Neurospora crassa OR74A: one gene and its partner. The protein of the gene in region 2 interacts with the protein of the main gene of each other region in a pairwise test. Links are inferred from orthologs where the notes say so. Each region holds a gene or a part of one and is shown on either strand. Other genes may lie near its edges. The genes, in order: mak-1 and cot-2.

Region 1 (4,563 bases), about 780 kb from region 2:
GTAGACGTTGTCGTTTGTGCATGTTTCCTTTTGGTCGGATCTCTCCCCCATCACATCGAGGTAGCTGCCGTCGAGCCCCGTTACGTGTTGTCATTGCGAGAGTGAGTTGTCTTGGGTTCATGGACATCACTTCGATCGGGTCAACAGCGGCTTATAACCTCCTCATCACGAACGGAGGGAGCTCGGTGTCCGTATTTCGGACTTGCACAACGTCCAAAAGGGTCTACTACTCTGAGTGGTCTATCTACGATGATGCCGAGGTATTGTGAAGCTCCTCTCGGTGAAGGCGTCGACATCGCGGCCTATTCTGGCGACCAAGTCTATGCATCTAAAACTGCATCAGCCCTACGGCACTGGGGAAGTCCAGGAACGACCAGGGAGTCAGTGCGGCCACATGTTGTCGGCATCAGCCGGCCGGTTGGGTCAGGGGAAAACTGGGATCCTGTCCTTTCGGAAATCCTCCAATGCTGGTTGACGGCAGTTCACCATTAAAAAAAGACTGTTGGGAGATTATAATTCAAGGCGAGGGTTCGGAGAGGGCCCGCCGTCCGGACGGCCGCCGGATCACGGATGAAGCTCAGCCCCGGAGCTTGCCTTGCCCGGGCCCAGAGGTAAGCACTCCCAGGTCTTTCAATTCGGTGTTGTCCGCAAACCGTCACCTTGACGCCCTCAGTTAAAGCCAAGATCTGCCGAGGCATAGTGTACATGGACAATCAAACTTTATGATTTTCCACCTCGTTTAAGCAGCAAGCAACGATCCGTAAACAATGCGTTCCCCCTTCGAACTCATCGAGATGATGGTAGTGATGATTGCGAATCTTTTAGACGCCGGCCAGTGGGGAGGCGGCCGTAGTCGCGCGCCAAAACCAAAAATGGCCGCCGGAGGAGGGTTGCAAATCACAGCGGGGACGCAGCGGGTGGGGTAGAATCAGGTACCGTTCCCTTGTGATTTCCGCTGTGGAGTGACTTTGCAGTAACATTTGTTGACTGGGCAAGGGGAGACCGCCGCCCAAAACAGGCGCCCCCAAGCCAGGCGATCCCTCTGTTTGAATTCTCGGTGTGTTTTTGTTTTGTTTCAAGGCGGCAAGCATTATGGTAATGGCCTTGTTCTGTTTCGACGGGGGGGTGGTTTTTTATGGCTTTATAGTTGTTAATGCGATGCTCACGGGCCTAGATTTCATTGCATTCAAGGATGAGAGAGGCCGCCATTGTAAGCAATGGAAACTACCTAAGTCTTGGACGAGTTAAACGTTCAGCAATGAGTAGGTACTTAGTACCCCTGGGCAATGATGGATGGGAAAGTGGAAAGAAGGACAGGAAAAGAGGCAACCAGCGACAAGCCTGAAAACGGCCATCATTCGTCAGGAACCGACAAGCCGCCATTCGTCAGTCACGTTGGTTTGTTGCACTTTTGCGCCCGCTGACATTGGCGGGCTCTTGGGAATGGAAGCGGACCCCGCGTTGCCTCACAGACAGCCCCTCGCTCAGGTCCCGTTCTGGTGCCGGGATCAGCGCAGTGGTCGGTCGCATGGTCGGGGTCCCTCGGCGCCCCTCTTTCCTCTCCTCACCATTCCAGTGTCCGCTTCGAGCCCAGGGGACCTAGGTAGCCACTGCACCATTGAGGTCCACGGCCAAGCAGGTCCTTGACTTCGCTAAACACGAGCTTCTCTTCAAGCTCTCCCCTCGTCACTGCTCGTTTTCCACTTTCAATGATATCCATCGTCGGTTTAAACAACCTAAGCTGCTCGAATCCCGTCTCCATTGCTTCTCTTAAAATACGCCAACCGTAAACTAGCAATCAATAGCACCAAGTTGAAGCCAAAGCGCAAGCTCAGCTCCGGCCCAGTCAGCAAATTGCCCGAGTAGGTGGCACACATATATCCCATCACGCACTAGACTACAGTATCCCAGGGGCTTCCGACTCTTCAGTAGTGTACTTGTGCCAAGGACCACCCTACCCTCTGCAAACCTCATTTGATCATCACCACTTTTTTCCTCTTTCTTTCTTTCTCTCCATCTCTGCCTGGCTTCAATGCTACATTAGCCGGTTGTCTATTGCCTTGCTCCCGCCTTTTCAATCTACATCTTACTTTTGTCCCGTATACTCTTCCTCGACACTTCTCAAATACCCCCGTCCGAACTTCTCAAGACATTGATCGCGCTTGAGCTTACATACCCCACGACACCACCTCCAGGCCGTTGCCAAACTTGCGCCTAAAGGTCACCCGAACCACCTCTCTCTCCAACTACGAACCGTCCCCGAAACACCACACAGACACATTCGCCATGGCTGATCTCGTGGGTCGCAAGATCTTCAAGGTCTTCAATCAGGACTTTATTGTCGACGAGCGCTACACCGTCACCAAGGAGCTCGGTCAGGGAGCTTATGGCATTGTCTGGTACGTCCACCTGCTCCTGCTCCCGTTCCTGCTTAGCCGCTTGTGCTTTTGGGCCGCGGCGCATCTACATGTGTCATGCCATATTCTCATGATTCAAGCTGACCTCCCTTTCCTCCTAAACAGCGCCGCCGTAAACACCCAGACGAACGAGGGAGTCGCCATCAAAAAGGTCACCAATGTCTTCAGCAAAAAGATCCTAGCCAAGCGCGCCTTGCGCGAGATCAAGCTCCTCCAACACTTCAGGGGCCACCGTAACGTAGGTTGCTCACATACACATATTACAATCGATGCATGGTAGCTGACCGTGGCGATTTCTGGTTCTTTAGATTACCTGCCTCTACGATATGGACATTCCCCGGCCAGAGATGTTCAACGAGACCTATCTCTACGAGGGTACGTCATGGCTCATGCCTCACGAGAAGATGGGCCTACATACTAACCTGGGGGTTCTTTTGCAGAGTTGATGGAGTGCGATCTTGCTGCTATCATTAGGTCCGGTCAGCCACTTACAGACGCCCACTTCCAGTCCTTCATCTACCAGATTCTTTGCGGTCTCAAGTACATCCACTCGGCAAACGTTCTGCACCGTGATCTCAAGCCCGGTAACCTGCTGGTTAATGCCGACTGCGAGCTCAAGATCTGCGACTTTGGTCTTGCGCGTGGTTTCTCCGTCGACCCCGAGGAGAACGCAGGTTACATGACGGAGTACGTTGCCACGAGATGGTATCGTGCTCCTGAAATCATGTTGTCCTTCCAGAACTATACCAAAGCCAGTATGTCTTTTCCTCAAGCTGCCCCCTTGATATCGTTTTCAGGCTAACACTCATTCCTTAGTTGATGTATGGTCCGTTGGCTGTATCCTTGCCGAGCTTCTCGGTGGCCGCCCATTCTTCAAGGGCAGAGATTACGTCGATCAGCTGAACCAGATCCTGCACATCCTCGGCACACCGAATGAGGAGACCCTCTCCCGTATCGGCTCTCCTAGAGCTCAGGAATACGTCCGCAACCTGCCTCCCATGCCCAAGAAGTCCTTCCAGCAGCTCTTCCCCCAGGCCAACCCCGACGCCCTCGATCTCCTCGACCGCATGCTCGCCTTCGACCCTACCAGCCGTATCAGCGTTGAGGATGCTCTCAAGCACCCCTACCTTGCCATCTGGCACGATGCCAGCGACGAGCCCGACTGCCCTACCCCCTTCAACTTCGACTTTGAGGTTGTCGATGATGTCGGCGAGATGCGCAAGATGATTCTCGATGAAGTCTTCAGGTTCAGACAGCTTGTGCGCACCGTGCCCGGTGGTCAAGGACAGGGCGGTGCTCAACCCCAGGCTCCCGCTCAGGTGCCCATGCCTACTGATGTGCACAGCCAACAATGGACTGCTGAAGATCCTAGGCCACATGAGTATGGCGCGTACAACGGTGGCCTGGAGGCCGAGCTTGGTGGCATGTAAGCAATGACGGAAGGATGAAACCTTTCTATATACGATAATGAGAACGAAACGCTGGTTCGGCAAGCATCTGATGCTCAAACACATCTTGGGTTGATGCCTTGGCTGCAAAAAACAGAAAAGACGACGACATAGTATTATCGTGTTGGAAACCCCCCGAGAAGGGAACGGCTCGCCATTGAGGCGGTCTTCAATGACAGAGTGGGACAGCAGTTCTGGTCGGGCTGTCAACAGTCAGCCCTAGGAAGGCACTTGGAAAAGCAGGCGTCAGAGGCAGACCGGGAGTTCTTTTCGATGTCTGGCCAGATACCAGAGGGTGGTGAGTGGCTCACCGGAGAGACTCTTTCTGTATCTCATTCTATTCTCCTAGTCAGGAGGGAGGACTATGACTAAGTGGAAAGTTGAAGCGATCTTCAGCGAGGACTTTGGAGCGAGATGTTTACGTTGTCATTTATAGTCATAATTCTATTGGATACGCTGAATGTTGACACTGCAATAAAGCTCTTGATCGTGGTGGCGTCGTCCAGAAGAGTCCATGGTCACGCAATAAGCCTGGCATTTGGAATGGCTTTTACTGATTCTCCTAAGGTATCTATCTCGAGGTATCTAGTCCCAACCCCTTATTTTATGTGACCGTATGTATACTTTTGTGAGCCCAGATTAGTACAAAAAGCCAAAAAAGAATGTTTGAACGCCGACGCCATGCAGGGCTTGATATC
Region 2 (4,267 bases):
AACCCGATTAGACGATAGAGACTAATCGTATGGTGGCGAGGAAGAAGTAATTGGAAGAGAAAGATTCGTGACCTGCCCCTTCATCATGCGATGGCCCTTATATTCGGCCAAGAGAGGACAACTGGCTCGAGGAGGCGTCAAGATATCAGATTAGGGAGAAACATTACACCTTGTCTGACTCCGTGCCCTGCGCATGGTGAGGAAGCAGTTTGCTGGGCCAGCTACTCAATGGTGACCCATGAGTTGACGAGTTCGTTGGGTCGCTTCGATTTGTTCCCTTTTAAATCTCGATATCCTTCATGTCCTCGGCGTCTTCGACTGTCGTTTGCTTGCCCTTTGACTCCGTCGCCTTTCCGTTCGCCTCGGTTTCAGGCTTCTTCTCCTTATCCTCGCTTGTCCTTTCCTTGGCGGGAGAATCCTCATTGACCTTGATATCCTCCTTGCTATGCTCTCCGCTTGTCCTTGGGGTGTTCAACTCCATCAAGTTGTCGGCGGCTTTGGCCTCGAGGGAGGCGTTGCTAGCCGTGAGAGAGGTTGTGGGGGGTGCCTCCTCAGCAACGCGCGCCAATGGGCTTGGCTTTCCGTAACCTGGTCGGATGGGACTCGACATGGGTGAAGTGCCAGTGAGACGGTGTAGCGACCGGCCACGAGGCTCGTTGTGCTCTGTTGGGCTTTGGTAGGGAGAGCCGGGAGTGGGGGGAGAGCGCATGCCGGAAGCTGACGCCATGGAAGGCGCCATAGATTTGCGCTTGTTGGCTGTGCGACCATACTTCTGATCCATTCTCCACCTCAGAATCTCGAAATAAGACGGCTCAACACGGGTCGCCTTAAACTCACGCAGCTTGAGCTCGTTGGTGTCCTCATCGACAAACCACCTCCCGCTGCTGAGATCCTCGGCAACCATGGCAAGGAAGTGCGCCCACGAGCGGGCCACGACGTACTTTGTATCGTAGTCGCGACCAAAGAGGATGATTTGACCCCAGTGGCCCTTTGGTCCAGGCGCCAAATCGACAGCCAAGTTGTTGCCGCCCCAGTCACGAACGAGAGGAATCCAGGCAGGGTGCGCATACGCCTTCTGAATCGCGGCCGGGGGGACGGAATCCTGCTTGTTGAGAAGTTCTTGTCGCCAGTTTTGGTTGCGGTTAGGGGCATCTTTTGATGATGAGGCCTGAGCGGCAAATGCCTGAGATTGTCGCTTGACGAGCACGGGATCCAGCATAAACTCTTGGTTCACCGTCTTCCAGTTCTCCCACTCCTGAACCATCTCTTCGCAGTCGAGCAACATGGAGCTGAAAATAATGCCAGTGGGAAGACCACCGCGCTCCTGGCCGTCGTGGATTTGCAAGGATTGCCTGAGATCTTGGGGAAGGGTGCAATCAAGCTGGTATTCGAGTTCGTTCAGATCGTTGACGGTGCAGCCCTCGCCAAGTTGGTCGAACAACTCGGGGTAGTTTTCCTCGGCCCATCTGTCAATTTTCTCCCAGGAGCTAGCGACTGGTGGGGGAGGCGGACCGCCATTTTGGAAGTTCTGCATGGGAATCTCGCCGGTTGGGCTGTGTACATCGAATGCGTCCTGGTGGACGGACTGTCGTTGGCTCACTAGGCCGGGCGAATAGGGGCCACCGTTGGCGGGACTCGGCATGGGAGATATGGCGCGTCCACCGTAGGCCGTGTCGAAGCTCATGGTAGAACCACGGCCATCTCCTTGAAGGTAGGGCGAGTTGATGTCGGCACGCGAGTCGGAGGCGGTAGTAACGCCCGCGAGACCGGAGTTCCGGTTCAATGGGACATGACGTCCAGTTCGGTAAGGAGAGTCGATGCCAGCATCTGTTTCCCAACCATGACATGTAAGCGATCGAACCGAGGACGGGGAAGTAGGGGGGAAGAAAGCACTAACGTCGATCATAACTGGTCATAGCATGCCAGATGTCCTTGAATAAGCTGGTAGAGGATAACAAGAAACTCGGTCAGCCAAGGACTCTCACCGCAAGCGGTGTCGAGGGAGCGGATTGCGACTCACCCAGCCATTTTGGGCAATCAGATAGAATATGTATGCGGTCAGAGGCTCGAAATCGGGAGAAGGAATTGCGCTGGTCTTGCAATCCGTCGTTGGTGACAGGAGAGGACAAAGGACCAGAGTCGAAGATTCAAGGGGGGGTATTCCCTTGATTAGTTCGACGCGCCGTCGGCCGAAGTTGCTCGGCGGGATTGGAACAAGCGTCGAAGGCTCCGGAAACCGCGTCGAAGATGGTGGACCCGGTAATCCGCACTCCAGCAGTGGTTGTGCTTATCGGTGACCGAATAGAGTGTTATCGTCGGTCGCCTTTCTCTCGCCAAGTTCGTCGTCGACCTGTGATTTCGTGGGATGGGTGTTAAAGGGCGGCCGTGGCGTAACGCCGAGTGGAAAAGTGTAAGGGCGGGTAGTTGGATGGATGGCTTTTGCGGTAGGTACCTTTGGCTGCAGGAAGGAACCGGCTAAGCTACTGTAAGGATGTTGCAGCGGCCTCCTTTTTTTTCGGACGGAATCTCGCTGGCTGCAGCAGTAGAGGTGGTACCTGGTACGGGGCTACCCGGCGCGCAGAGGCTTTTTTAGTAGCGAAGTTTTAGTGCAGCTGCAGTGGCAGGGCAGGGGGGGTGTATGATGGAGAAGAATGCCCGGATTCTTTTTGTGAAAGACTTTCCGCTTTCTACAGGTACTCTTAGGTTGTTGCCAGATGAACAAGGGAACCACGACGACACCGACGACAACAACAACAACACCGACCAAATAAACAACAACAAAACAACGGGCAAAGGATAAAAGAGAGTGGTATATGCGGTCTGTGGGTTGTTGGACAACGAAGTGGAAGTGTAAAGTGGGAAAGTAAAGATCCGGTCAGGACGAGCGGTGCACCCGAGCTTTGATAGAATCAAACCTGGAACTAAAAAGCGGCAATGATGTAGTGGGAGGCAGTGGACTGATGCTGGGCGGGCGGTCAAGGTGCTTTCACTAGTGTGCAAGTCAAAAGTCTGGGCGACCGACCCAAGGGAAGTAAAAGTGCAACTGAAGTCACGGTGACGAAGTGACACCTCAGCAACGAAAGAGGGAACAAATCGAAGCAAAAACAAAAAAACCATTGAGAGTGGAGGGCCAATTTCAGACAGGGACGATATATCATTTGTTGGCCATGCACCCCACCCCTTTTTTTTCCGCCCTTTCCATTATTCTCCCCCTCCCCCTTCCAATTGCATTGTCCATTTGTGCTTCCCCATCCCCTCTCGGCATTCCGTCTCGTTGCCCAGGCATTGTCCTGATATTTCTCTAGTGTTGTAGTGAGTGGATAGCCAGATTGTGAAACAGCTGGCTGATTTCTCTTCCTCTTCAGATATTCCTTGATGCTAGCACGGGCAGACTATAATGGCCCGTCCCGGCCATTGTTGAGCTGGACTCTCTGGGGTTTCCACTTTCCTAGTGTATGTAGTCCCGTCTTCACATGGTGGGGTTGGTAGTCTACATAGTACACAGTAGCGGGGGACGGGGGCAGAACTGCGGACTTGTCGGATGCTGATCGGTCACCGTTGGAGCGTACAGATGATCCACCGTTGCTCGGCTGACTGATGATTGCACATGTCTGTCTCCGACCGACACGGCTGCCATGCGTTGTCCGCCCGGCTGACTGTTGCGCGCAAGACGCCGAGCATGCGAGGGCCGTGAGAGCAAACTGCCGCGATTGTCGACGACGATGTCATGTCTTGTCCGGCCGGGCCCTCTTCCGTCAGGTCGACAGGCCTGGACTGCGACTGCGACTGCGACTGCGATGCGACGCCCGGGGCGGGGCGTGTTCCTATCATTCAGGGACTTCAAGGTGCCGGTGAGGTGCAGCATGATGCTGCGCTGAGCGCGTTTCCTCGGTACCTGACTTGCCCATCACTTTGTGCATGACGCTCAGGTACCTGTCTATCGCGCGCAATTTCTCCTACGGCGCACAAATGCCCCTTGCCAAGACTTTCTAAGCTTTGTCCCTTCCCTTGGCCCTTGCTCAAACGCATTTGCCAGGCTTGTTTATGACAAAATTACGGTTACATACCGTCAAATCGGTCCTGCCCCTGTTGATACAGCCTGGGCAAAACATTCACCACTTCTAGTCACCTGGATGAAAATGCATCGATTCTCATCACGGCCAAGAATCCAAGTCTGTTGAGTGTCTCTGAAGTTGAGAGAAGACTTCAGTTAGCTGCTCATCAACTTGTAGAAAAAAGAAACAAGTCTGCCCGTGGTGATGAAAAA

The links.
Region 1: the proteins of cot-2 (region 2) and mak-1 interact in a two-hybrid assay, tested with the Saccharomyces cerevisiae proteins (2 studies listed by BioGRID). The link is inferred for Neurospora crassa OR74A from reciprocal best matches to the Saccharomyces cerevisiae genes SMI1 and SLT2.

What each region holds. Positions count from the first base shown.
Region 1 is NC_026505.1:5,919,555-5,924,117, forward strand, and holds the start of mak-1 (mitogen-activated protein kinase MKC1), read left to right. Parts: upstream 1-1,618; 5' UTR 1,619-2,286; coding exon 2,287-2,399; intron 2,400-2,522; coding exon 2,523-2,655; intron 2,656-2,725; coding exon 2,726-2,792; intron 2,793-2,857; coding exon 2,858-3,172; intron 3,173-3,233; coding exon 3,234-3,847; 3' UTR 3,848-4,563. UniProt on the Saccharomyces cerevisiae protein: Serine/threonine protein kinase involved in a signal transduction pathway that plays a role in yeast cell morphogenesis and cell growth.
Region 2 is NC_026505.1:5,143,842-5,148,108, forward strand, and holds the start of cot-2 (glucan synthesis regulatory protein), read right to left. Parts: upstream 3,091-4,267; 5' UTR 2,029-3,090; coding exon 2,021-2,028; intron 1,942-2,020; coding exon 1,898-1,941; intron 1,828-1,897; coding exon 281-1,827; 3' UTR 1-280. UniProt on the Saccharomyces cerevisiae protein: Protein involved in the regulation of cell wall assembly and 1,3-beta-glucan synthesis, possibly through the transcriptional regulation of cell wall glucan and chitin synthesis.